Daphnia pulex: one gene and its partner. The main gene of each other region encodes a partner of the protein of the gene in region 2 in a complex. Links are inferred from orthologs where the notes say so. Each region holds a gene or a part of one and is shown on either strand. Other genes may lie near its edges.

The links.
Region 1: the proteins of replication protein A 32 kDa subunit-like (region 2) and SWI/SNF-related matrix-associated actin-dependent regulator of chromatin subfamily A-like protein 1 are in contact, whole or in part, in a crystal structure (PDB 4MQV), measured with the Homo sapiens proteins. The link is inferred for Daphnia pulex from reciprocal best matches to the Homo sapiens genes RPA2 and SMARCAL1. Residues at the interface, in NP_002937.1 of Homo sapiens: Pro222, Glu223, Ser250, Asn251, Glu252, Gly253, His254, Ile255, Tyr256, Ser257, Thr258, Val259, Asp260, Ser266, Thr267; in NP_001120679.1 of Homo sapiens: Leu5, Gln9, Lys12, Ile13, Asn16, Arg17, Ala20, Leu21, Arg23, Arg24, Lys27.

Annotation. Positions count from the first base shown.
Region 1 is NC_060018.1:6,033,158-6,036,919, forward strand, and holds the start of SWI/SNF-related matrix-associated actin-dependent regulator of chromatin subfamily A-like protein 1, read left to right. Parts: upstream 1-1,024; 5' UTR 1,025-1,221; coding exon 1,222-1,775; intron 1,776-1,843; coding exon 1,844-1,989; intron 1,990-2,066; coding exon 2,067-2,215; intron 2,216-2,274; coding exon 2,275-2,416; intron 2,417-2,486; coding exon 2,487-2,628; intron 2,629-2,703; coding exon 2,704-2,871; intron 2,872-2,930; coding exon 2,931-3,092; intron 3,093-3,167; coding exon 3,168-3,278; intron 3,279-3,331; coding exon 3,332-3,506; intron 3,507-3,571; coding exon 3,572-3,760; intron 3,761-3,762. Other genes in the region: uncharacterized Golgi apparatus membrane protein-like protein CG5021, read right to left, coding at 1-23, 83-349, 414-493, 552-706, 803-864, 940-978. UniProt on the Homo sapiens protein: ATP-dependent annealing helicase that binds selectively to fork DNA relative to ssDNA or dsDNA and catalyzes the rewinding of the stably unwound DNA. Rewinds single-stranded DNA bubbles that are stably bound by replication protein A (RPA).
Region 2 is NC_060017.1:2,574,086-2,577,118, forward strand, and holds replication protein A 32 kDa subunit-like, read left to right. Parts: upstream 1-803; 5' UTR 804-946; coding exon 947-965; intron 966-1,024; coding exon 1,025-1,110; intron 1,111-1,167; coding exon 1,168-1,269; intron 1,270-1,332; coding exon 1,333-1,446; intron 1,447-1,505; coding exon 1,506-1,697; intron 1,698-1,754; coding exon 1,755-1,907; intron 1,908-1,968; coding exon 1,969-2,048; intron 2,049-2,111; coding exon 2,112-2,193; 3' UTR 2,194-2,371; downstream 2,372-3,033. Other genes in the region: CWF19-like protein 2, read right to left, coding at 1-305, 392-475; sodium-coupled monocarboxylate transporter 1-like, read right to left, coding at 2,529-2,661, 2,740-2,907, 2,968-3,033. UniProt on the Homo sapiens protein: As part of the heterotrimeric replication protein A complex (RPA/RP-A), binds and stabilizes single-stranded DNA intermediates that form during DNA replication or upon DNA stress.

The sequences.
Region 1 (3,762 bases), on a different chromosome or scaffold from region 2:
TGTCGGGTCAACATGTTAACCGCCTAAAGGAGAAAGATAATTTAGTTTGTTTTATCCAATGTACGACAAGAATTTGGTTTACCTTATCCATAACTTGCTGACGAAAGAATCCGTTGGCGTAATTCGAAACGGCCCCAGTTAGGTTTGTGCCTTTGCCTAACTTACATCGCAGATACCCATACACATTAGCTCCATTCAGAGAAAGAGCAATACAATCTAAAACTAGCCAACGAAAGCTGAATCTGAATATAGCAAGAATGAAGAGGATGGACCATACTAGAGGGAAAACAATTAAACCTATCCAAAATACTCTAGATTCGGCAGCATGCACTTTTCGTACATCACCTTCCTAAAAAAAACAGAAAAAATGTATTTGAAAAAATGTAAAAAATTATTTTTTCATCATGGTATACCTTTCGTGCCTCATAGACCCAGTGACTCTTGCCTTCACCATCAACGTAACTCCACCACCTGAGCCCTACCAAGATCCTTCCTGCAAATGATGTTCATAATTGAGTAATATTCAATAATACATTCATATGGTGAAATACCTGTAATATTTTTTACAGTCCAGAAGTCTAGAGAGAGTAGGATAACTGTGAAAACAAAACTAGTAACAAATCCATCTGAGAACCAGCCACAGAAAAGGTAAACAAGGAGAGCAGCTGCTCTGAAGCCAAAGTGGAAAAGAACTACATAAGGATGCCTATTTAAGTAAAAGATAGTGAGTCATTAATAAATTTAATGAGTATTATTTTTTCTGAAACCTGAAACGTCAACATCAAGATAGGATTAAACTTACCGGAACTGTTTCGGATTTTCTTCCTCTCCAAATCCAGGCGTGTCATCGTCAATTAACGCGGCCTTACATGACAAATAATATACATTTTAAATTGTTTTTAAATAAATGAATTTGATTAAAAATTGTTTTTAACTTACATTGGCAGCAGACGAAGCCATGGTTGCTGACGTTGACATAAAGAAGTTGCGTTTTTGGCCGCTTGGACTTGGTTTGTAAAGATTGCGCACAAGAGACGTAAGAAACTGGCAACGTTCTGTTATGGTAATTAGGTGTTTTTTCAAAGTCCTCACTCCCTTTGATGTTAGAGATTTAGTTCTAGTGGACCGATTAGCACGTGTATTTGCATAGTTAGATGGTTATAGAATAACACATTTATAAGAATTCTATTTCTTTGATATATTTATTAAACCTAACTAAAGATGCCTCTTACGCCCGATCAAATAAAGTTGATGGAAGAAAACCGTCGTAAGGCTATTGAAAAACGTGCTGCTGCAAAACAAACCGAAACGAATCAAGTAGTTACAAACAACAATAGAAGCAATTTTTCTGCTGGGAGTTCAGCTGTTTTAAGACCTCCTACCCCTGCAATTAACCCATCAGTTGGAATAAGTCCTTCAGGTGCTTCTTCGTTTTATTCAAGACCTCAATATTCGGGGGGGAAATCCACTTGGAACTCTCCAGGTTCTTCTAGTAAATTTCCACCAAAGAATGCTAACTCCGGTTCATCAGCCAGTTCTTCAAGACCTACGGCAACATTTCAGTTGATCTCAAGAAGAAAATTTTGTGTTGATGCACCATTTGACAATGAAATGATAGAGATATTTAAAAAGTTCCCCACAAAAAGTTATGATGGAGTTCTTAGAAGATGGACTTTTCCCCTTTCTGATCATCAAAAGTTGCTGGAGAGCCTTGATCCATTGCTAACAAGATTTCAATTTCAGCCATTGCCAAAGTTTGTTTTGGATATTTTTAGGTAAAAAGATTGCATCCATATACTTTTCAAATAAAAGGTGTAATCAGGATTTCCCTTTTAATTTACAGTAATGCCCCATTTGAAAAAACGATACCTGAAGTTGATATAAGCAGCATAGACCCAAAATTGTACGAGTCTCTACTTCCATTCCAAAAACAGGGCATTTGCTATGGAATTCATTTGCAAGGAAGGATCCTAATTGCTGATGACATGGGTATTCTTTTAAATTAATCATTAGCTAAGTTTCTTCCTTTTTATTGTATTTAATTTCCTTATGTCTTCCTTTTCTAGGCTTGGGGAAAACTCTGCAGGCATTAGGTCTTGCACATTATTATCTTGCTGATTGGCCTTTGCTCATTTTAACACCATCTTCAATGAAATTTGCCTGGGATGAAGCAGTTAAAGTATGGTTACCAAGTGTCCCATTACATCATATACAAGTATGTGAAAAGACAAAAAAAAATGAAATGTTCATTAGATCAACATTACTTTTTAAAAGGTTATTTGCTCAGGAAAGGATTACATCGACAAAGAAGTTTCAGTAACAATTTGCTCATACGACTTGCTTACAAAGAAACTAGACGAACTAGTAGCAATGAACTTCAAAACCATTATATTTGATGAAAGCCACCTCGTAAAAAGTATTATCATTTTATTTTTTAAATTTTTGTTTGAGAGTTTTTTTTTTTAACTACCAAGTTTTAATAATAGGCGGAAAATCAAAACGAACTACCGCTGCAAACTCTGTAAGTGCTGAAGCAAAGAGGGTGATTCTTCTATCTGGGACTCCGGCATTATCTCGCCCTGAGGAACTGTATAGCCAGCTACAGATTTTAGAGAGGAAACCGTTTGGGTAAGGAACTTTGCCATTTATTCAAATTCAGGAGTTTGAACTGTAGTCAACACAATTTGCTATAATGATGGTTAGACACTTCCATGCTTTCGGATTACGTTATTGTGAAGCCAAAAAAACAAAATTCGGATGGAATTATGGTGGAGCAACCAATATGAACGAGTTACAACTAATCCTTGAAGAGAAATATTTGATAAGACGTCTTAAAAGTGAGGTTCTTTCACAGCTGCCAGCAAAACAAAGGTAATAAATAGCAACAATGATAAAATGATGAGTAATTAATTATCAATTTTTCATTTTAGGCAAATGGTTGTCCTTGATCCTAATGCTGTCAAATGTCATTCGCCCTCAATGGATACGTTGGCTAAAAACATGACAAAGGAACATTCCAAACCAATGGAAAAACGGGGTGTTCTACTATCTTACTATTCCGAAACGGCAAAAGCCAAAAGCAAAGCTGTGTGGTAATTTTTAGAAATGTAGCTACATTTAAACAAAATTATACTTATTTTCCTGTCTTTCCCATCTGTCTTTTCCAGCGACTATATTGCAGACTTATTGGAGAATGGCAAGAAATTCCTCTGTTTTGCTCATCATCAATGCTTGTTAAATGACATTAGTCGGTGCATTGAAGAAAAATCTAAAGCAGGGTAATAGACCTTATAATTGAATTTTATAAATTTTAATTAACGTTATTTTAAAGTTACATTCGGATTGATGGATCGGTCTCTTCGGACGAGCGGAAGAAGTTATGTGATGTTTTTCAAAATAAGGAAAGTGTTCGGGTCGCTGTGCTATCGATCACAGCTGCAAACACTGGATTAACTTTGACGTCAGCCAATCTAGTCGTTTTTGCTGAACTGTTTTGGAATCCCGGTGTATGCTAAAAAAAATATTAGAAAGAATTCAGAATTTTACGTAAGCCGTTATTGATTTCATACAGGTCTTAACTCAAGCTGAAGATCGCGCTCATCGTATTGGTCAACGGGATAGCGTCGTAGTCCAATATCTAGTAGCAAGAGAAACTGCCGACGATTATCTTTGGCCCCTTGTGCAGAACAAGCTGGATATTTTGAGCAAAGCTGGACTCAGTAAAGATAACTTTCATGAAGCGGATACTAGATATCTCTCCGT
Region 2 (3,033 bases):
ATGCTACTGTTACTGAAAATTGGAAGCAAAGAAGGCACACTCATCCATTCATCTCTCTCAAGAGGAGCAGATGAAGCGGGTTCTGTTGTTTCAGATGTTTTCTCTACCCATTCATCAGAATCAGAGGAATTGTCTTTTTTCTTGCTTTTTTTATGTTTCTTATCCTTTTTATGTTTTTTTTCTTTTTTACTTTTTTTGGATTTACCGGACAATTGAGCATCCAACTCAGGCAGCATCCATTTGTCTTCACCATTTAATTTGGCCAATTCTTTTTTAGCTTTCCTTTTCTCATAATCTCTTTCTGCCTAAAACAAAAGAAAAATAAACTAAACCAAATGTATACCAGTAAAATACTATTAAATCAAATTGGTGAAATGTGATGGTGTATTACCTTCGCAAGAATTGCCTCTCTCGCTTCTCGTTTCATTTGTCTCATTTCATCTAAGTCTTTAGAATTTTCAAAATTTATCGACATTTCAAAGGATTATTTCTATGGGCTAAAACTTGAAAAAGAAAACTAGAAAAGCAACACAAATTATTTTCAATCAAATTTACAAAAACGAAAACATTCGTTTTGACGTCTGTCGTTTTGAAGCGAAAACAAGCATTGCCAATTTGTTCAACCAGAGTCATCCGGTTCAACTTTTAATTTTTTTTACAAGCATATAATAAATTTTAAAAACGTTAATAAAAACGTTAATTAAAATTATCAATTGTAGTAAAAATTGTAAAAAGATGCCATTTAATTCAATATTGATATCAAATGTTTCCAACTCGTCAACATCGGATTGCGAAAACTAGTTTTCCCGCCATCTATAAAGAAAAGAAAACAGTGGATAGACGCAGTACAAGTTACAACGTCTGCATACCTGATTGAAGTGATTCACGTGCATTACGTTTTGTTTTGAGAACGACAAATTTAAACGAATAATTGAATTAATCTATAATGTGGGATCAATCAGCAAGTAATAAATACAATTTTGTCAAGCTTTGTGTTATTAACTTTACATTCTTTCCATTACAGGCGATTTTGGAAATGGAACAATGGCCGGTGGTTTCTTTAATGCTGGAACTCCAGGAGGCACAGTTAATACTCCTGGAGAAAAGAAGGTTTGAAGACATTTTTAATATCTCATAGACATTTTCTCATGTTTGTTTCATTCACAGGGTGGAGCTCAACGGGCTCATAATATCATTCCAGTTAATATCAAAGATATATTGGATGAAATTGATGAAAAACTAAAGATAGAAGATACTGAAGCCCACATGGTATCCATATTTATCTTCACTTTGAGTTACATTTACTTATGATTTACAACTTATCTCTTTTAGGTTACATTTGTAGGTACTGTCGAACAGATTGAATCCAAACAGACTAATGTTTCGTACACTGTAAGGGATGATACAGGTTCTATTGAAGTTGTTCAGTGGATTGAGGGTGAAGGGGTATGTATTGTGTTCTGCATATGTTTTCACTCATTATTTATTCCAATTTATTTTTGCAGAATGTCCAATCACCTTTTCAAGTTGTGGAAGGGAATTTTTGTCGAGTTGTTGGATCTATTAGACAGACACAGGATCGCCGTCACGTAATGGCATTTCGTGTTGCGAAACTAACAACTGCTAACGAAATAACAACCCACTTGCTAGAGACGCAATGGGTTCGTATGAAGTTGAGACAGATGAAGAGAAAAATGGTAATGAACAACTCAAATGAATGCTTGAACAAAGGTAAATGATTTTTATTTATAAAGGGAGAAGGAACAGGACAATCAATGAATAACTCAGTGATGGGTGGTGGAATGACTGGGCCTTTAGCTTCTTCATCCTCAGCTACTTCCAATGTGGCAAACGGTATCATGTCAGGACTGTCATCTTTTCAATCTATGGTTTATACCATCATTCAGGTAGATTCATTTGTCATCTATGTGATCAAATTCAAACAATAAAAAACCATGTTATTTTTAGGCAACAACAGCGGAAACCGGCATGGAAAAGTCGCAGATCTACAATTCTGTCAGAGGAAGAATGATCCCACGTGATGTAGAGTAAGTGTATTGATGTGGAAGACAAACATGTTTTCATTGATTTTAATTTAAATTTTTTATTAGTGCTGCTTTGGAATTCCTTTGTTCTGAGGGACATATTTACTCTACGGTGGACGAAGACCATTTCAAATCGACCGATAGCTAAACAAGATTAAGATGTACTGTACCTTCATTCTCATTAAATATCTACTAGAATAGATACATTATACTCAAAACTGTGTCGACTCAGTCTGCGGAATTTATCCTGAAGCTATTAATTCCAACTGTTTTGAAATGGTTCAGTTCTGTCTGTCTTTCAACATAAAAGCTTAAATCGTCTAAAATCCATCGGATCTACATCGGATAATTCATTTTCAGTATATTCAAATATCAGGTACATAATGACCACGGATAACTGGATCATGTCTAATTGCTATGGCAAGTGTTTGTGATGCATTCGAAGTAAAATGTTATTTACATCATAGAATGAAGACGTAAATGTTAGGTATCAGGCAAATTTACTTCTATTATTGGTGATAATCTTCTTGGAAGTTCCCACAGTAATATCCCGTTTCGTTGCCTACGAATAACCGTAGCGCCATCGGTTTCATCACTTGGTTGGAGTGCCGCTTTACTATGATAACATTATTGATTCAAAAATTAAAGCTAAACTCGCTAACATGTAGAAAATGTTTTGCTAAAGTTATCTTACTTTAATAGACGGTTATGATTTACTCGGTAAAGTAACTTGGGATTTAGTTTTGCAGGATCTTGCGGCTCAGACAAAATGCTTCCAATGGTACCAATGATTAAGACGATCACCACGCTCAATACCGTGTACCACAAATACGAAATCCGTAAGAGCACAAATGCATCCGCTCTAGAATGGAATGAAATATCGCGTTAAGTTTCAAATTATTATCTAGAAACGGACTCATACTTTTGAATAAAAAAATGAACGGAAGGTGACCCAACGTCTGTTGAATTGAACGACGGGCAGTTATCT